Alligator mississippiensis: one gene and its partner. The main gene of each other region encodes a partner of the protein of the gene in region 2 in a complex. Links are inferred from orthologs where the notes say so. Each region holds a gene or a part of one and is shown on either strand. Other genes may lie near its edges.

What was found.
Region 1: STRIP2 (region 2) and STK24 share a complex: the UniProt entries of both Homo sapiens proteins name them as parts of the core of STRIPAK complex. The link is inferred for Alligator mississippiensis from reciprocal best matches to the Homo sapiens genes STRIP2 and STK24.

The regions. Positions count from the first base shown.
Region 1 is NC_081824.1:365,299,866-365,311,000, reverse strand, and holds the start of STK24 (serine/threonine-protein kinase 24), read right to left. Parts: upstream 4,944-11,135; 5' UTR 4,848-4,943; intron 3,054-4,847; 5' UTR 2,935-3,053; coding exon 2,842-2,934; intron 1-2,841. UniProt on the Homo sapiens protein: Serine/threonine-protein kinase that acts on both serine and threonine residues and promotes apoptosis in response to stress stimuli and caspase activation.
Region 2 is NC_081827.1:5,104,991-5,115,230, forward strand, and holds the start of STRIP2 (striatin-interacting protein 2), read left to right. Parts: upstream 1-5,612; 5' UTR 5,613-5,641; coding exon 5,642-5,710; intron 5,711-8,565; coding exon 8,566-8,635; intron 8,636-10,240. Other genes in the region: AHCYL2 (adenosylhomocysteinase 3), read left to right, coding at 508-514. UniProt on the Homo sapiens protein: Plays a role in the regulation of cell morphology and cytoskeletal organization. Required in the control of cell shape. Calmodulin-binding scaffolding protein which is the center of the striatin-interacting phosphatase and kinase (STRIPAK) complexes.

The DNA of each region.
Region 1 (11,135 bases), on a different chromosome or scaffold from region 2:
AGCCACCATTTCCCCATTGTCCCACCTGCCACTGCCGCTTCTCTGCACCCCGTCTGCCTGCTGGCTGCTCTAGCACCACGTGCCAGAGCATTATAACGAAACTCGAAGAGTGCTAAGTCGAATCAGGTATGCATTTAAAGTGAGTGCTATACTGAAATAGCACTAAGCAAAACCGTGTTAAGTGCGGGTTGCCTGTACAATCAAAGACAGTCGCTTCCCCAGTTTGCCTTGATCTTGATCATACAAAAAACTCATAAAGACAGAACCCTTGTATCCATGTCAAGCCTCAATGACCTCAGTTCCACGCAAACCAGATGTCACCATGCTGAGTCGCTTTGAGAACCAGAACCTTGATGTACACAAAACACGAGGAATGCAACAGGAAGTTGGAGACAACCACAACAGGAACACATGACTGCAGAAACTAAATGATGATTATAATTTTTCAGGTTAAAAGGGAAAGCATATTTAAAACTACATCAGGGATTAAGAAATGTGTGACTACAAATGAGCTGTCCCCCCCACCAAGAATTAGTCCACTCTGTTCTCTGTTTCTACAATTATAGGCTTATTTTTAAATGCAGTCTGCTATGGCCTGCTTTTATAACACTACATGCAGCTTTATATAGTTACCTTTTGCTGAATAATTAATCAGGAAGAGAAAGCCCAATTCAATTCCCTGGTTTCTAAATTCTGGAAAAAGAAGAGAACTGCAAACATGAAAAACATCACTTAACCTGATACCTTTGGAAGTGAGAGAAGAGGACCTGAAAAAAATTCAGTTAGCCCTATTCAGACTGTTCAACTGTGATGTTCAACAGTTGGCTCATGAGCAACATCATCCACAAGACCCACCTATGCTGCTTGCTGTCACAGGAAAATAAGAAGTTCAAACTGAGGTTGATAGGGAAAGAAGAATCTGGTGTTGCCCATAGCACATTACTTACTCAGTACTACTGTCCTTTGGCCAGTGAAAGTTGGCACCGCTGCTGCCACATAGCTGAGATATTTATTTTGCTGCTGAAATCAAAACCAAGATAAACAGCTTCCATATAGCTGCAGGGGGGGAGGGGGGGGCCGCCAACCTGGAACCTGCAGGCCTGGCCCATGGAGCCATTTTACCTGGCCCACAGTGTCATGGGGCTTCAGTGGTGTTTTGAGGGAGAACGAGGCTTTCACCTGTGTGGCAAGAAGAGATGGTAGCAGCAGCACTGTGGCAGTGGGGGGAGAGCAGTGACAGCAGCAGTGTGAACTAGGGTGGAAGCAGCCCAAACTCAACACTAAGATCTGTTCAAGCAGCACCCCCACTCTCAAACTACTGACCCCTGATGTAAGGTCTTGAGTTACAATAGAGTACAGCTCCAAAGATAAAATTGCTAGGGCTTTACTCAGTAGATTCCTATGGACTTTTTACTGAACAAGCCTCCCAAAACTTCCAAAGGCAAGTAAGAAAGAAGCTCTCTCAGCCCACTAGGTGCAAAAACCACATAAATAGAAAGGAAGGAGACTAGAAAGAAGCATACTGATGATTAATTTTGAAGACGAGTCAATCAGAATCTGCTGTATATTAGATACACATTCAAGCCAAACCTGCACTCCTACTCCAGTTCTAGCTCATACCCCCTTACCAGCCATACATACAAGCTATATCATAGAATCATAGAAGTAGGGTCAGAAGGGACCTTGTAGATCTTCAAGTTCGACCCCCTGCCTGGGCAGGAAGAAAAATGGGCTCAAATGACCCCAGCCAGGTAGACATCAAGCCTCTTCTTAAAGACCCCCAGGGTAGGAGCCAGCACCACTTCCCTTGGAAGTTGGTTCCAGATCCTAGCCGCCCTAACTGTGAAGTAGTTCTTACAGATGTCTAATCTAAACCTACTCTCCAACAACTTGTGGCCGTTATTCCTTGTTATCCCGGGAGGCGCTAGGGGAAACAAGGTCTCCCCCAAACCCTTCTGGTCCCCCCCAGTGAGTTTATAAACGGTCACCAGGTCCCCGCTCAGCCTTCTCTTGTGAAGGCTGAACAGGTTCAGGTCCCGTAGCCTCTCATTGTAGGGTCTGCCCAGCTGTCCCTGGATCATGCGGGTGGCCCTCCTCTGGACCCTCTCAATGTTGTCCATATCCCTCTTGAAGGGGGTGCCCAGAACTGGACACAGTACTCCAGCTGTGGTCTGACCAGCGTCACGTACAGGGGGAGGATCACCTCCTTGGACCTACTTGAGATGCACCTGTGGATGCACGATAAGGTCCAGTTAGCCCTGCCGACTGTGACCTCGCACTGTCGGCCCATGTTCATCTTGGAGTCAGTGATGAGGGGGGACGAGGTATGAGGGGCATGTGTCCCCCCAATTTGTGCAGGGATGAGGAGAGGCTGCCTGTTGTGGGCTCATGGCCAGGGGCCGCGCCTGCCTCTTACTGGCAGGAGGCGTAGGCCAGAGCTGTGCTCAGGGAGGGCAGCACTGGGAGGAGGGGCTACGGAGTGGGCTACAGTCACCCCAAAATCCAGCGTAGCTCCCCTCCTGGCACTGCTGCTGCCCACCCCTTCCCAAGTGCAGCCCCGACCCAGACCCCTGCGGGAAAAGGCCAACACAGCCCCTGGTCCTTACCAGCAGGCTGCACGCCATCACCCCATGCACAAATCCAGAAGGCACATGCCTCCATGCCTCCCCAGGTGGTGCGCACAGCAGTGGGAAGTCGCCCTCCCACCCCCACCCCCAAAATGTGCCACCCATGGCTCCACTCCATCCTCCGCCGCCTCCCAGCAGCCCCTGCCCCACTCCCTCCCTTCCTATGGGGGCCTCAAACTGGCTCCCCCACAACCCTTCCCTCCCACAGACTTACCAGCTGGATGATGGTCTCCAAGCTGCCAGGCTGCATTCCTGGCTGTGTGCATGCTGTGGCTGTGCGTAAGCAGGCAGCATTTATCAGTGGCATTATTGGCTACCCCAGCCAAAAAAAGCGAACTGTCGATAATGTCAATTTTCCCTTTATCAGTGCTGATCAGATAAGGACCAACATATCGATGCACCTCTATTTGTTGCAAAAGTCAGTACCTACATAGTTAATGCAGCATGGGGTCAAAAGGAGAAAAAGGATGATGTCATTCTTTAAGCAGTTTATTGACACCTGGAAACATTTAATTCCCCTGCTCCCACTCTGCAATGGTGCTAGAAAATCACTTAAACCAAAACAGACAAGTTTGGGTGCTCGGTTCTAACACCACCCAATTCAAAACCTCATACACTGAACACAGGATCATAGAAAAGTAGGGCTGGAAGCAATCTCATGAAGTCATCTAATCCAGCCCCCTGCTCAAGGCAGGATCATCTCTAACTAAACCAACTCAGCTAAAAGTCCATCTAACTTCTAGAAATTTTCAGGGATGAAGAGCCCACGGTTTCAATAGGAACCCCATCTGAATGACTGATCATCCACAGTGCAAAATTCTTCCTAATCTCCAACCTAATTTTCTTCTGCTGCTGTTTGAAACCATTGCTCCTAGTCCTGTCCTAAAAACCTAACCTGAGAAGATCTAGTTTCTCTAAGTAACCTTTAACTTGGTCTTCTGCTACTCTAGGCTGTCTCCTTTCCTATCTTTGCTGCCAGCTGTGTTTGTCATCTGGTAATGTCTTCACAAAGTAGGACAGCAAGTAAACAAGGTCACAGAATCATAGGGCTTCTGTGGTGTTTTGGGGAAGAAGGGGGCTTTGCCTGTGTGGCAGGAAGAGATGGTAGCAGCTGCACTATGGGGGAGTAGGGAGAAAATGCACACACTTCAGACTTCTCTGCATTATCTGTACCTGGATTGCCTTCAGTAAGGGACCTATACTTCCTTTGGTGTTCCTCTTACTATTGACATTCATTTGCCCTCTCTAGCTGCATCTCTAATCATGCTCTGGCCTTCCTCATTTTCTCCCTACATGCTCTTCCCTACTAACATGCCCAAGTTTCCACTTTTTATAGGATTCCTTTTTGAGTTTCAACTCACTAAAGAGACTGCTGTCTAGCCGGGATGGTCTCCGCTTGCACTGCTCATTCTTCCACTGCATCAGGAAGCTTGTTTCTGCAGCCTTAATACAGTCTCCATAAAATACATCCAGCTCTCCTGGACTCCCTTTTTCCCCTCAGACTTGCTGTCACAAACACCATTTTGGTTTGGAGGTTTATAGGGTGTCATGATGAAAGTATTTAGGTACTTTTCTGATTTTGAATGTGGTTTAATAAGAGGAACTTAGGAATGCCTAATTAAGGAGGAAAAAGGTAGATTCTACTGTGCTATGGCAAGCACACACACTAAAGCAAAAACAACTGCCACTCCCAGACATAAGCAGAATGTTATTGGGTCTGGCACCCAAGGCATTGTCCGCCTACAATGGAGAAATTAACTCCTTTATAGCAAAGGCACTTGAGAGAAATGGCCTATCAGCCAGAGGAATGCCAGATGTCCCAGGGAGAAAAGTTTCCAAGTTTCCAGAGGATTCTGGATGAGAAACTGGGACTATGCTTGGTGGGGGGGGCAGTAACATGGCTACGGTCTTTGAATTTTCTCAGGCCTTGGAAGAGTCTAGGTCCCCAGCAATCAGGGCTGGCAGAATTAGCAGGACGGATGAACCCTTTATATAATAAATTATTTTGTTGTTTTGCTCCTTAATGACTGCCTGTGGCACAGTGTGATCACCAGGCAGGTATTCCAGGCTAGCCCATTCCATGGAAAGGGGGACCTAAAAGTGTCTGCACAATCCAAAGGGAGGACACCTCGAGCTGGCAGAGACTCCCCTGCTGTATTTGTGAGGTCTGGTATGAGGGCAGTGGAGCTGAGGATTTCAAGTAGTTATCCCAAAACAAACCTTGGTCTGTTCCCAGGAACAAATAGTGGGACATTTACAGATACCACTTCAGTTTGTGCTTTTCTTAACTTCCAAGTACTTGGTTTAAGAAGTGAACTGAAGAATATTATCTAAAAAATAATATACACAAATATTTGTACTGTTCTTAAAAAATCATGTCTAAACAGCATTTAATAAAAAAAACCCCACACATTATTCCCTACCCAGAAAATTTTGCCTCTAAAAGAAAGCAAACTTATACTAAGATAAACTGATTGCTACCTCTTTTCTATTTAAAAGGAAAACTTTGCATTATGATATGAAGATGAGGTATATGAATTTATTATTTATTTAAAAAGGAAAAACACATCGTTTTTCTCCTTGGAAAAATCAGCAACATTTTTTAACCAAAGATAAGCCTACCTTCTTTAAAAATAATCAATCATTCAAACGTGAGTAGATGCCTTTTTTCACCCTCAAATTACCATATTTAAGACAAGGCTTAAAAAAGCCCCTCATCTTACATTCACATACAAGTAAACCTCATTAAATATATTGCCTATCACTGAACTGCTGCCAAAAGCAGTATAGGCTCAGTAATGGAATCCAGCTATGAAGCTGATTAAATGCAGCCAACACTGAGCATGACTATAAAACACATGGCCCACATTGGACAAACATGCTCATGGGAACCGTGTGGTTGTGTGTTCCCTCCACAAGAAACTGGCACTGGGCTTAAAGGTACTGCAATACCAGGCTGGCACCAGGAGGGCCAGAGCCAGCCGTGACCTTTGGTGCCAAAAATGCTATATTTGAACTTAGCCAAAAAGGCTGAGGATGAGTTACCACAACCCATCTCAATAACATTTACTAGCGCCCCACCGAGCACAGTCAGCACTGATGGGGACTGTATTTGGTGAGCCACTACACTGCATGCTTTTTACTCTTCACTCCCACAACTGAGTTGCCCCTTTCTTTCCCATTTCCAATTATCTGTTTCTTCACCAGCCTTAAATATCTGGCAAACATCACCAAACAGGGCCCAAACAGTTCACCCAGATTCCCTGTCACCCCCTCTCTCAGCTTGCTGTATATTAGCATGGCCCTATCCTCCATAAGGTGAAGTTGAACCATGTTGCCTTCTGCCTCAACTTCACATAAATTTTGGAGGATCCCAGGACTCCCAACAAGAACACCTAGTTCTAGTTGTGTCAGGGTTAATTAGCACACGGATCCTTTCTCTGCCTGGGGAGGTGAGGTTTCTGAGTACTTCCAAGTACTCAGTGAGAGCAGGGCCTGATGTGGGGCTGGGGAAAGAGGTGCAAGAGGAAGAAACTCACAGGAAGCAGAGTGAGGCACCCAGCTATCTGACCCCCAAGATCTATTTTCCCTGCTGCAGCACAGGGTGGGGAACAAATTCAAGCCAGACCTCCAATAATTAGATTCTACACCTGGAAAATTATAACAAATTTATAAGTTTAGCGTCTATAGAACCTAATTATTGAGAGATCATCTTATATTTGAGTAAATATGGTATTTGCAGATGGCCTGTAATTTTGATAACCGCTACTATGACAAATTAAATGTTATAATTGAGGCTTTACAATTTAGGAATTCACACTTACAGCATGTGGGCAGAGACTGTACAAGTTTCTGGGTCTCTATTATTTCACATAATACCACCTTTATACTATCCAGAGCTCTTTACCTACAAAGCAAAAGCTTTATTTTACCATTGACATCAAGCATAATACATACATGTATAATTTTGCTCATGTAAGTGTTTATCCTACGAGCCTAATCTGAAACATTGTCTTTAAATTTGCAGTTTTTTATGAAACAATAAATTTATCTTATGCCTTTTATGAATTCCCATTTCATCCATCACATTCAAATAGTCTATAGTACACATTACATCTTCTATTACTGGAAAAAAGGGAAAATCAAACACACTGAACCACAAAACTGTTCCTTTAAAAAAACGAGTGATTTCAAAGGTATGTACAGGAGATGGACGGACACTCAGGCCTAGAAGCTGGCCCCAAAGAGAGATCTCCAGTTTATAAGGAGGACTGGAGTGAGGGGACACAATCTGAAGGGTTAAAAAAAAAGAGAGAAAAAATAAACAAACCCTGCCATGCATATGTTGTACAAACTATTTTAACGTGTTCTTTATTACTTCTTATCTATTTTCACACTGCCACATTGACCAGATAGTCACCAGTGAAGGACACATGAATGTGAAGTTTTAATTTCAAACCTCTGGTGTCTGAAAAAACACATACTGGATAGCTAGAAAACCTATAAAAATCTACAGTCACACACTGATACAGACATATCTATATATGTACACATACATGTTTTTATAGGCTTTCCAGCTATGTTTTTAAATATATTGCAGGGGGGAAAGAAGAGAGATACATATGCCTTCCAGCTATCCAATACATGTTTTTAGATATAGCTATACATGTTCATGTGTATATGCATACACGCACACATATACAGGGTACTCCTGACTTACCATCATCCTGGTTAATGCTGTTTCATTTCTATGTTATTGAGCTGTTAGAGAACATACTCGTTTAAAGTTGTGCAATGTTTGGTTATAACGTTGCTTGGCCGCCACCTGCTAGTAGGTAACTACTGTGACATAACTGGATTCGGTTAACACGGTTTCACTTAAAGTCGCATTTTTCAAGAACATAACTACGATACTGAGTAGCTGTAGCCTGTAAACACACACACACACACACACACACACACACACACACACACACCCCAATATATAACATGTATATACCTAAAAACATGGCTAGCTGGAAAGCCACAAACACATATGCACACTTTATTGTCTTTCCAACTATCCATGTTCTTAGATCCAGATACATATGCATGCATGTGTATATATGTATGTATACATATGTATATATCCAGGTGTCCAGTCAGGGTGTCTAGACTGTGAAATAATCTCCCTCCGTAAGTGGTGCAATCACCTACCCTGGAATTCTTCAAGAGGAGACTAGACAATTACCTTGCCCCCGTTATTTTTTCTGCCAGGTGCAAGCGGCTGAACCCAATGATCTTCCAAGGTCCCTTCCAGCCTTACAATCTACAAATATTGGGGGGGGGGGGGTGCAGACAGACAACACATATGTTCATGTGTGGGGGAGGACTTTCTAGTTATCCATGTTTTGGGTGTGTTAATGTGCATCTGTGTAGGCTTATAGGATTTCTAACATACATGCACACCTTACTGACTTTCCAGATATCCACGTTTTTAGCCAGACAAATAAATAAATAAATAAATAAATAAATAAATATATACACACACACACACATACATACATGCATATGGGGGGAGGGGTGTGTGTAGGCTTTCCAATTGTCCATGTTTTTAGAGATGTAGATAAATATGTGTGTGTGTGTGTGTGTGTGTGTGTCCACACACACACATACATACACAGAGTATCTAGTTGTGCAGACTTACAGGCTTTCCAGCTTTGATACACAGACACAGGCACAAAAACATCTGGGCGAGCTGAAGCCGGGACCAAGCAGGAGCAGGGGGAGGAGCAGGCATCCCCCGCAGCACCACCCCGTCGGGGGAGCGGGAGCAGTGACGTCACGCGGGCTCGCCCAAGCCGGGGCTCGACCCCGCGGGCCGTTGGGCGGACGTACCCCCCCACAAGAAGGCCCTGAAGGTCACGATTCCCCTCCTTCTCCTTAGGTCGCCTGCCTGCGGGGAAAACCCTGCCCCGCTCACTGGGCCAGGCCGGGCCGAGGAGCCGTGGGACTCACCTGCATCCCCGGCAGGCCCGACTGCACCGGCGAGTGCGCCATGGCGGCGGCGGCGGCTCCGGGTGTCCCGCTCCGCTCAGCTCATCGTCCAGCCCCGCGCCCCGCCGGGCCGGGTCGGGCGGTCACGGGTGCTGCAGCCGCTGCGGCGCCCGCCCCATCCCCCGCGCGGCGCGGCCGTTCCGGGTCTCGCGCGGGCCCCGCCGGCAGCACGAGAACAGCCCGAAGGGGGAGGGGAGAGAGGCGCGGCTTCGGCCGCGCGCCCCGCCCCCTGCTACCTGCCGGCTGCACCAGGCCCCACCCCCGAGACCTGCCCGGCGCCGCTCCCAGATCATTCAGAGTGGAAGCACGGGAGGGGTGACCTCTCCGACAGACCCTGTCCGCGCCTCTCCCGAGCGCGGGGGCAGCCGGGGGGGGGGGGCCGCTGGGGCAGCGCATGCGTAGTGACGCGACCCCGTTCCTTGGCGGCGGTTGGGGGTACCCGAAGCCCTGCCCCCCTCCCACGGGAAGACGCCGTCTTGGGGTGGAAGAGATGCCCCCCCCTCCCTCCCAGTACCTGTCTAATAAACAGGGCTCCTGTTTTTTTCTGATTGAAACAATATCCCTAATTTTGGGATTGCAAAAAGTAACCTAAAATCCACATTTTTCCGTGATTAAAATGATACACCAAGGCATGATGGGGGCATTATGAGGGCCCATGAAGGGACTGCTTGGGCGGGCCTGTGGGGAGCATGTGTGTCCTGCTAGATAGATATTTTTAGCAGGACACACGTACTCCCCACACAGCCATGCTCAAACAACCCCTGTGTGGGCCCTTGTAGTGCCCCCATTGCCCCATAAGGGGTATTTGGCTGGTGTACCCCTCACCTCCCTTCACAACCTCCTTTTGTGCACACAAAGGGCTGGGAGGGGTGGATCTGGGGGCAAAGACCACTAAAGAAGGCTGGAGGGTGGGTCCAGAGGAGGCTGACCAGCCCCCTGGGGGCACTTATGACTGCCCCTGTGCCCTGGTGGGGTTGGGAAGCCAGTCCAGGGAAGGCCCTTGGCATGAATGGAAGGAGGCCTGCAGGGCAGGGAGGACTGGGCGCCCTGCCCCTGCCTAACAGGCGGATGGAGAGGCCCTTGCTGAGCAGGTGGAGATGGAGCCCACTGGCTGAGGGAGACCATGGCGCATGGGCACAGCAGCCATGAGAACAAGACTATGGCATGCGGGCACGACAGCCCCTATGGACTGGCAGGCCTTAAGACGCAGCCTTCTTGTAAAGATCAGACAGAAGCCACCCGCAAAGGGGCTTTTGAGAGGTAATGGAGAATCCCCAAACCCCTGGTAAACTGGCCCCCTCAGTCACCGATCCAACTGAGCACGAAGCCAAGGGCAGCCTGAGGGTGCACTGTGGGCAAAATCAGCCCTCCATTACAAACAAGCCCAGCAGCAAAGGCTACTTGGTAGCGCTGAGGGGATATTGTAGCCATGACAGGCCTGGATTGTGCAAAAAGCAAGGGTTGTTATGGGCAATATCTTTTATTGACTGAACTGCACTGTTGAGGATAGATTTAGACAAGCTTTGAAATGCAAGGCATTCATTTGGTTGTGTAAGAGTAGTGGTGTAGCCGGGATTGTCCAGAAATTATGTGAGGGGAGGATTTCTTGGAGTGATCTCTTTTATTGGACCAACTGTGTAGCTGGGATAGAGTTAGACAAGCTTTCGAACGCAAGACATTCTTCATCGGGGTAATCAGAACAAGCATCTAATGAAGTAAGCTTCCGCCCACAAAATCTCATGCTACATCTGCATCTACATCTATCTTAGTCTATACAGCGCATGTCTAACCTGCTTTCAGAACAAACCGGGCACCACATAGTAAACATGCCACAACTTTTTTTCGCTATGTTTTGTGCCTGTCTTGTTCTGGTCACAGGAGTTTGAAAAAATATTTAGAAACTTAAAAGGCATGTATATTTTTTCTCATGTATTAATTTTTTCTAAAGAGAAGCCCCACTTTTCCTATCTTTAACTTAATCTAGTATGAATTAGCTAGTAACAAACATCAGAAGTATTAATTGCGCTCGCATTCTGCGTATGCACAACAGGTCTCTATTGCATGGCATTCTGGGCAGGATTGGTACTTTTGGGGGATGGTTTCTTTTTTCTTAACAAAGCTCTAATACTTCAACTATTTGCACTGGTCCTTTGAATTTTGATAGAGTGAATGCTGATAAGTTAGATTTGTCTTTTTCTTGTCCCATGAAAAGTCCATTTGGAGTGAGTGTAATTATAAAACATTAATAATCACCATTTCCATCCCCTCGCCTGTGTTTCTCAGGAAGCTTTGAGCAGCATGCCAGACTATTTGCTTATTGCAAACATTGTAGAGAGCTGGGTGTGTGCTGCTACCAAAGGAATACTGGCAACCGGAACCTGTCAAAGCAAGTGTAGCAGCATGTTTGGGGAAGGAGAGGGCAGGAACAAGCAGATCAGACTATCTTCTCACACATGGTCTCTTGAGTCCAGC
Region 2 (10,240 bases):
CACGTGGGGGCAGATAGTCCTCCTGACGTGTTGTCCTCCTCTTTGTGCCCTTGAGCATCTACCCCCACTTGTTTAACGCTCCCTCCCCATTTCTGCCAGTGGGCGCTGGCTTCCTCATAGCCTGCACAGAGTAGATGACAGCGCAGCGCGGTAGGAGTCCTCAGCTCGTCGCTGTTTGGGGCCAGCCCGTTAGAAAGAACATCTTCCCCTTCATTAAAGTCCCAGCGCTCCTTTCTGCCACGAGAGCAAGTGGGTGCGCCCCCAGCGAGCTGTCAGAGCTGGGGGTGAACACTTCCCTCGTCCCGGTGAGCCCTGGAGAAGGATGTCCCCGGAGTCATGTCGGACACAACTCGCCCAGGCGCTGGTGCCGACCTGAGGGCTCCCAAACCCCCAAAATGATCGGAGTGAGGGGCGAGCGAGACCTGTCTGAGGCCGATAAGTCAAGAACCGCGCACGTTTTACGCCTCTGCGCTCACTGAAAGCTTCGTGTCTCACCTCTTTTCCCAGGTATTAAGCTCCCGCAGCCAGAAGAAGCGTAAGGAAGAAGAACTCACGTCTTTTCCCAACTACTGTACAGGACGAAACAGTACAAGCTTCCCAAGTCAGAGCTGGACTTGCTCACATAGTAGACAGTGTGTTAGGTTATTTATTTATTAAACTAGAATACTGTACATGCGGCCTCTGCCAATGGTGTTTTTTACTGCCATGGGACTGTGAGACGGTTGATTTTTTCTTTTTTTCTTTTCTTTTATTTTTGGTCAGGGCGGGGGGGGAGGTGGAGGAAGCAAGTCGGAGGCAAAAAGGAAGGCTGGTTGAGTGAATTCGCTGCAAAGTCTCTGTCAGCTTCAAGTAACCCGCGATCGCTGTCCCCACTGGCATACACAGGTGTGGAGGGAAGCGGGCGAGACGTTACTCTGGGTTCCCGTTTTCTGCGTGGAAGCAAAATCCACGGCAGTCGCAAGAACCAGGCCTCAGTGTGCAGGGCCGGTTGGGGGGCTCCGCTCTTTACTTCTCCCACCGTTTGAAACCCAAACTAGCACCGCCTCGTTGGCTCTCGCTCTTGCTGGAGGGGTGCTACCGTGTTCGTGCCTCTCCCGGCGGGTCCCCAGGGTAGCGCTCTCCTTTCATTCTGCTGGTCCGGCAAGGCGGCGGCTCTGACCACGAGCCCCAGTGCTGCCGGAAGCTGCAGTCCAGGGGTTCAGTCGACAGCCCGAGCTGGGGACGCCCCTGCCCAGAATCGGGAGCCAGCAAGGCAGAGACGAGCCCGCTCTCAAGCAGTCCCTCTAGGGTTCCCGTCCATGGAGCACAAGACCCACCGATGCACCTGCTCAGCCGCTTTGCGGTACTTCTCTGCGGCTTACGACCAGTGCCACACTTCCACCAAAGGGATCTCCCTCCTGGACTGCGGCGTGGGGCCTCGAGCTGTCTCGTGGGAGAGCCTTGCTGCTCTGTTGACAAGCGCCGCCTCCATCTCGGGGTCAACCTTGGGGACGACACCCCCTGGGCGCAGTCTTCTCGCTGCCGTGGAGGGAGGCGGCAACGTTGATCGTGTCCAAGGACTGTTCTTGATGCTACGGATCCTTCTCCAGTCGGTATTTCAGCCCTCGCCTGGAGTCCTTGCCGTGTACAGCGACACCCGTTTAACAGAAACGCTTCCCAGACTCCCAGCGCTGGATCTGCCAGCGCCTTCTTTCCATAGTTCATCGCTGAACGAATTCTGGAAAACCTTTTTTGGTTATGAGAGCACCAAGCCCCAGCGCAATTACTACGCTACGGTCTCTGGCTTGAGGATTAGGTTTTCAGCTCAGAATCGCTGTCGTGTTTATGAGACATCGAGTCTCGAGGTGGGAGGGTCATGGAAGACAAGGCTGCCATCATCGCTTGTTCTGGCAGAGATGTCCCGCCTGGATAGTACGTACGATGCACCCAGACGCACGCCCCGCAAGATCACTGTTCGAATGGCCGTGTCTCATCGTACCGATCATCCTGAGAACATTGTTCCTCGTATCAGAACTGCAAGAACTTCAGCCGGCGCTTGCCAAACCTCCACGAGAAGCACTGACCTGAGCACCCAGGCCTTTATTCGTTGCTCTCCACCATGGTATCTGAGCCTCTCATCAGAGGAAGCTCTCTGGATCCTCAGCCTTCCTGAAAGAGGTTTCTGTGGTATTTTCTTTACACACTAAACCCCCCCAATGAACTGTGGTCTTACCTGCAGGGTGTAGGACTGTCGCCCCTAGAGATGACGACTGCTTCCTAGGCTGGCTCATCCCGCATCAGGATTGCTCCCTACAGCAAACTTGCCTCTCTTGCTTTTCAGTAAAACCTCAAAAAACCCACATGATGGAGCTTTCCTTCTAACGTGCTGTCGGAAACCCTCGGCAGCCACGTGTCAGGGACTCACGGCAGAATGATCAGCGATCGGGACGTTCCCTGAATCTTCTCTTCTTGGCAAATTATACTTGGATCGTAACATTTTTAGAAAGAGATCACCTGAAGTGTTTTCCTAAGGCAGGTTGGCCATATTCCATCACACCGGTCGAGTTGTCCAGTCTATAAGGACCTGACTTCGTTACAAGACTCATCCATTTGGTGTGTTTGCAAACGTGGGCTGAAATCTCGGTCCCCCGGGCCATCAGGGGCAGGCCTTCTGTTGACTCCATGGGAGCCAGGATTTCACCCTTAGGCTGCATGCTTTGGGGGGCAAAAGACCTGTGTTGCTCTTCAAGATCCTGGCATGTAGCGGCTGCCCGAGCGGCCAAGGAGGAAGGGACAGACCTAGAAGGGGAGCATGTCCCGGCAGTGCAACACACTGGTCGCAGCGCAGTATCCTGATAGCCAGGGACCGGGGAACACGCAACTCACATCCGATGTAGCTTAGACCGTGGTCTTGTCTCGGGTCTGACGGCACATCCATACATCCAACATGGCCACCTGCTCTTTATCTCACAGGGCTACGTCGGGCATGTGACACTGCTTGTTCAATGGGTGTTGGTTTTCGGCCCCGGTCTGCCTCTGCTCTGCAGGTCAACTTCTCACCGCTCGGGCCCGGGGTCAGTTAAGGAGCAATACGGTATTTCTGCAGCGACCGTTGCCCGCTGCCTCAGCCTCCCCAGGTGGGTGTCACGGCGCTGGTGTGAAATCCCGGCCTTGGCTAGCAACGGCTGACGCTGCTCTTCTCCCAGCACGCTCTCATCTGTGTTGGGCACGCATGTCCCAAACTGGGATAAAGACTGAGGCCCTTGGCTATACGGCAGCATGGCTGGCAGGGTTTGGGGCTGGCAGTGCATCTCACGTGGCCTGGAGCCCAGGGCACCCCACGGCCTGGCTCGTCAGCAGTCTCCCGTTGTGGGCAGCGGGCATCTGCTGTGCTGGCCGCACTTGGCACCAACTGAGCATGTGGCAACAGCTGATCTCCCCGAGAGCTGGTCTTTCACACCAGCGCGGCGGGACCGCCAGCCACCCACTACCTTATTCGTGGCACTGGGGACGCCGGCCAGCCATGTCATCTCTGGAGCGGAGCCGTGGGGGAGGGCAGCTGTGGGTCGCATCGGTCACGGCGGGAGAAGTAGGGTCCAAAGCCAGGCTGGTTCTGCCCCGGGGGAGACAGTGGTCCCATCCCCGCAGCTGAGGACAGTCGCTTCCCTGGTCCACGTCCGTCGGTAGTGTGGCCCGTGGTGGGGCTGTCCTCCCCGGAGAGCCTGTGCTGATTTTAAACCTATTTTATCTTCTGTGTAGATACAAGAAGGAAAAAATTAATGAATTAATAATGACACCAAATACTCCTAAATGACTTCTTTCCCCTTGAATCTTTTAAAAAGCTTTCTCTATGTGACTCCGCTTTTCCATAAGCTTTTCCGCTTGCTTGGCTTCGGATCAATCTGGGATCCTCCTCTCAGAGTTGTCCCCGGGGGGTTTCTTTGGGTTTCTTTTCTTTTTTTTTTAATGTAACAAATTCAAAAAGAAAAAAAAAGAGGGGGGGAAAGGAGAGCGGAGACACCAGCACGATGATCTGAGGAGGAGCATTCGGTTGTTGAACTTTAGAAACCAGGACAAAAATGAAATAATCTGTCACATCTACAGTCGGTGACGACATTGCGAAGCGTAACCTTTTCAAACGGATGTTTTAAATATTCATGTCTGAGTGATTGTATTAGAGCAGCAATAAAGACTCTGTAATCTCAAAACGCCAATAAAGCGTCGGAAAAGTGGCTGGTGCCTGGGCTGTGTTCACCGTGCACAGACAGCGGTGGGACCGTGGCCGGTGTCTGCCCCGGGCAGTCGAGCGCTAAAGAGGAGCCAAAAACCAGGGCTGAGAGGTGGGAACGGCAAGGGCCGCGCGGTCCCGGGGCAGCCGGACGTCACATCTGAGTCAACCCTGGGGCATGACGAGACTCCAGCCCCGCTCCCCTCGTCCCCTGTCCGGGCAGGGGGAGCAGAGCTGACTGTCTTGGCAGTTCCCGTGTCGGGGTGGCGGCTCCGTGTCCCCCTGGCAGGTTCTCACTTTCTCTGACCTGAGTGCCTCTCCCCATCCAGGCCCGGCACTGGGGGCACGTGGGACTGGGGGGCGGAAGGGAACCTAATGAGCAGTGACTTGGCAGCAATCTGTGCCGCCCGGGGCGCTGGCAGCCTTGGCTGCGGCCTGGGGGATCCTTTGCTGGGGAGTCTCCTGCCCCGGCCTGGCCAGGCTGGAAGGAGATGTCTCGTTTGACACAGGCCTGGCTTTTCCTGAGTTTCACCCGGATCGGCACGGCCATCTACACCCCTAGCCGTGCTGCTGCTCCTCCGCCAGCAGGGGGAGGGAGCGTGCAGCCTGGCCAGCAGTTGGGGCTGGGGACTGGGGAGGCCACCCTGCAGCGCAGTGCCGCGAGTGACACGAGCAGCGTCTGCGCGGCACGCGGGAGGTGAGGGAGGGACCACAGAGATCAGCGGCCAAAAAGGTTGCCCTTCCTCCCTCCACCCCCTCTATTAGGGACTGACCCGGGACAGCCCAGCTCCATCCCGGGGAAGCATTAGCGCCTTTTATTCTGGGCAGGGGAGGGACCAGACGCCTCTGCCCATAGGGTTGCGGGACCAGAGGCAGCTCCTGGCTCCAGCCCCGTGGGGGCAACTGGAAACCGTGCCCAATACCAGTGTGCCCTTCCCCGGCCCTGCCTGGACAGTCCCGTTCACCGCTCCTGTCCGCAGGGGGGCAGCGAGGGCAGCTGGAGGAGGAGGAGGAAGCACCAGCGGGGATGCCCCGAGCCCCCCAGTGATGCAGGAGTGGGGGGTCTGCGCGGGTGCGGTGGCACTGTGGGCTGGTGCTGGGGACCAGGCGTGGAGGGAGGTGGCAGGGAGGAGCCCGGGGTCCCTGGGCCTGGACCCAGCGCCTCGCCCCGCGCCTCCACGTGCCCTTCGCACCCCGCCCCTCCCCTGGCAGCCAATCGCCGCCAGGGGGGCGAGTCGCAGCCAGCCAATGGGCGCGCGGCGGGGCGCGGCGAAACCACGCGTTCCACTGCCCCGCCCCGTCCAGCGGCGCGGCCAACGGGCGCCCGGGGGTGTGTCCCCGCGGAGCCGCCCCCCGGCCAATGAGCGCGCGGGGGCGTGGCGGGGCCGCGGGAGCCGCCCCACGTGCGCGGCGGGCGCAGAGCGGCGCGGACACATGGAGGAGGCGGCGCCCGCCCGCGCCCACGGCCGGGACCTGCTCCGCGCCCCGCGCGCCGGCTCCCAGGTGGGTGCTATGCAACCTCCCCTGCCGTCGGGGGGAGAGAGCCGGGCCCCTCTTTCCGTGGGCTCTGGACCGGCTGCAAAGAGGGCAGGGGAGGGCAGGGGAGGAAGCGTGCTGAAGTCTCGGGACAGGAGCCGGGTGCGCGGCGCAGCCCGGCTGTGGCTGCGGGCTAACGAGGCCGCTGGATCAGTCTGGAGGCTGCCGGAGCGTGGGCTGGGAGGTCGCGTCCAGTCCAGCGCCCTGCCTGAGACAGGGTCAGCCCCGTCCAAACCCTCCTGTGCAAAGCACGATCCCCAACCAGAAGCAGAAAAGGGATTTGCTCGGGTCTGGGGTCTCTTGTTGGAAAGGCGAGGGCGGGCTGGGCGCCGCGTGCTTCACGCCGCTCGTTTAAAATATAGCCGGTACAGCAAGTCGTTGCCCCGGCTATAACAGTTCTCCGGCCGTGTTCGTGGCTCCAGATTCACGCCGCCGGGATTCCCATCCTAGCTTGAATCCCCCCCAGGAGCGACCGCAGGGTTTTGCTGGCAGCGGGTCCAGCCTGGCTCCTCGCTTCTGACCGCGCAAGTTGTTCACCCGCTTCACAGCCCTTTCCGTCCTGGCTCGGGCGGGCGAGCCTCCGATACAGCCCGTGGCGGTCGGCTTGTCACTAAAAGTCTGAATGCGAGTGGTTACGTGGTTACAATCGCACTTGGCGTTGGGGTAGGAGTGGGGGGAGGCGACTGAGGCTACATTTCACGAGCCAACTCTGCTCAAAAGCCTCCTCAGGCCAACGCAGATGCTCGCCGGGCCCGGAAACGGCAAGGCAAAGCCCGCAAGAGGGGTGCCGGGGACGTGATCGTTGTGAATAGCGGCAGTGTTAGTTCTTCCTCCGGGTGCCGGGTCCTCGTTAATGCAGTGCCTCGGCGTGGTGACCTTGGACCTCTTCTTGCTGTGCCGGTGATAACGGCTATCACTGCTATTCGAGTGCGACTGATACTGGACATCAGTTTCTGCATGTAGGGATCAGGAAACAGGTGGGGGTCCACGTTGCCTCCTCTGTCGGCCGAGGGGCGCAATCACGTTCTGTTGCTCGTTCTGCACCCTTCGTAGCACGGTGCCAGGCTCGCCTGTCACAGGCCGTACCCTCCCAGGACATTAGGCACGTCTACACGTGCACTTTACTGCATAGTAGATTGTTTTACTGCGCATTAAAGCATCACATAAACACTGTGACGTTATGCTAATAGCCTACTGCGCATTAAGTGTCACTAAAAAAAGCATGCAAACGTGCTCCTGCGTATTAGCACAGCCGAACATGCGTTCATGTAGCCCTGCACCTTGGAGGTACTAATTTACTGCACATGAGGAAAGGCGCATTAATGCAAGTGTAGACGCACCCATTAAGTTTAGCCTGGCAGACTGCATGTGCCGCTTAATGCAGTCCCGTGTTTTTCAGTTCTTCTCAACTCTGAATAATTTTTTGGTTCCCTTCGGCTGCTATTTGTGCTGCCTCGTGTCCTCTAGCGGGTCGCGTGCACATGCTCACGTTGCCTTCCTGCACTTGTTTCTTCAGATCCTTTGCAAAAGGTTCATGCCCCAGTTCCTTGATTTGGCCGGCAGAGTTTCCACAGGGTAGAGACCTACTTGCAGCCTGAGCAGCTGTGTTCTGCAGAGGCGAAACGATAGCCTCGGGACACTGTAGCATGGGTGGGGAAAATACCCAATGGCTGGTATTCGACTAGCAGGTGCAAATCTACCTGACTTCAGACTAGCACAGCTGCCTGCCTCTCCCTGGTACGACACCTACACGGTGCATCGTCACTGCGGGGCCCGGGAAATACGGGAGATGTCTGTGGACAGCCACTGCAACATGGCTGGAAACGGAGGGAGAGTAAAGTCACGGCTCGGTAGCGAGGAGGGAAACGGGAGGACACCGTGCCTGGTTGTGACCCTTGTTAACGACTGGCTCTTGCATTTTGTATTGTGATTTCAGGAATCTTCCCCAGCTCGCGTGCCCTCGTACGCTTGTATCTACTAATATTTTCAATTAAAAAAAAAAAGACAGACAAAAAAACCCTTTAGTGCTAGGTTTTCTGTCTGCACGTGCCCTGAGCGGTCCCTTGTGCTGCCAGTCGCCCCTCCGCAGGGTTCCTCATGGAGCATAACACACCAGCCTTAATTTAGGAAAGCATCCCAAGTATTTGTATCTGCATCTATAGATAGGTGGGTCTTCTCTGGTGGTGGAAGTGCGGGCAGGCAGGCGTTCAGGCACCACCTTGGGTGGCATTTGTAGCATGGTTCAGAGCATTGTCGGATGCGTAAAAGAAAGAAAAGTCCCTTTTAAAAAAGCTTTTAAAACTTTTTTCTTTAAAAAACGTCTCTCTCTAAACAGAGCTAACTACCGCTTCCTTGTAAAGAGCCAGGCTCTCGGACAGGTTGGAGCAGCCCGGGATGCCCACGTGCCACTATTAAATGTAGGAGTTGCAGTCTGGAACCGCTGGGTCCTTGTTTGGGTGATAGCAACACCCAAGTGGCTTTGGAAACGCGATCAAAATAGCCTTTCCGACCAGGCGGTGTATGGTAAATGGTCTGCACGCGTTCCCTGCCCCGGCCCTAGAGAAGAGCTCCCGTCTGCTGGGGTGATTGCTCCCTGGGGCCAAGGTTTGATCAACTTTCATGGATGCTGCAAAAGTCAAACGGGGAGATCCATCCTGATGTAGCCTTAGCATCCTCTCTCGACTCTCCTGGCCTCGTTCTTGGGACATCCCTGGCTGCTCAGTTTGACACGCGCATCGATTAGCAGAATCGTGATCGCTCCAGTTCCTCTGGATGGGAAACGGGCCCTGACGCTGCATTAACAAAGACTCTTTCTGCCGCAGGGTTCAGTGGACTACCCCAGCCTGGAGTTCGAGTATGGGGACACCGACGGCTACACGGCTGAACTGTCAGGTAAAGAGGCACGCGGGGAGCCGAGGCTTTTGCTGCGCACGAGTTCAACTTCGCTATTAATAGCTGCCTGCTGGGTAGACAGCGAGGCTGGGGTTGGTGGGAGATGCATATTTAATAATATCATCCTATATTAATAGAGCGCCACTCACCCCAGAGGATTGCAGAGTGCTCTGCAAACCACGCGCAGCAGAAGTGACTTCCTCCCCCGCTGAAACGCAGCCATTCGCGGGGCGGGACAGGAGAGCTGCGAACGGTGCCGCTGGTTTGGGTGGGAAGTGAAATGCGTGAGGCGTGAGGGCCTTGTAGCCAAGTTGCTGGAGATATTTGAATGCCCTGATGTCACGTCGGCAGTGGCTTGTGGTGTGCGGGGCCCTCCTCTTCCACCCCTCCCTGACCAACCTGGATTCATCCATGTCTGAGTTCACTAATCATTAGAGCACATGCACGTGCACATACACATACACGTGCGCATGGCACCTGTGGTGTCTTGAATAGTGCAAGGCGTCTGGGAAGGATTCGGGCAAGAGAAATCGGCCTCTTCCCCGATCCCCTCTCTCCTGTATGCGAAGAGCTCACATTGGTAATGTAGTTTCGTGCCAGTCTGTTACGTGCTTTGCAGCTGGAACAGGGCTGGGATCTCTGCTGGGGCTCACGCTGACGGCCGATAGTCCAGCTTTCCTCGGTTAGCAATGCGTGGGCGACGCGTGCTCTTGGCCGCGGTGGAGGGCTGAAACGGGCACTTCCAGACCCAAGCGCCAGCACAGTTACCGCTTGCAAAACTCCAGGTTCAGCAGCTGGGGGATGCAAGTGCTTGTATCCTCTCCGTAGCAGCAGAGAGAGGGCTCGTAGCATCCGCTCATCAGTGCTTTCCCCAGGCATCAGCACTCAGGGGACCGAGACGCCCATCCAGTAACCAGACGCTGCTTCATTAAACCACATCGCTACCCTTCTGCAGCAAAGATCCCTCTCTTGCTGATGCTAGATTGCAGTTCAGGTGGTCGAAAGCTCTTGGAGCAGGATCATCGGGGACATGGTCCCACGTCACAGTGAGGTCGGGCCTTTCTCTACTTTGTGTCTGCTGCTCTAGTGAAAATGCAGCCTGTGGATGTGTGGGCTCAGGCCCAGGCAGTGAAAGGCTGGGGCATCCCCTAACATCCCTGAATCTAAGGGCTCCACCATTTTTGGAGGAAAATAACAGCAAGAGAGCAGGGAACCCAAAGCACGTTCGCTGCTGTTGCATGTACGGCAGAGCATATTTGCGGCTGCTGCGCGTACAGCAGAGTCTGCGGAGATTTCGGTACGCTGGGGTGTTTCTCCTGCTTTCCAAAGCTTCGGCCTCCAGACCAGGAGGATGCCGGCGGAGGGTGCTGCACTGTCAGGCGTGCCTGTACAGCAAAAGGCAAGGTTGGCGGCAACAGCTTGGGCTTTCCCCTATGCTAGCAAGCAGAGACCCAACTCCGAGAGGCTGGCTATGTGTTCAGGTCACTACTGCCCGAGAGACCCTGTGTCACTGCGTCTCCCCTGCTGCCGATACCTCTGCTGCAGTCGCCCCTTTGCTTTGCTGGCAAACTTCCCAGCTCCTTTGCAGAGGCTGCTGTACGGCCA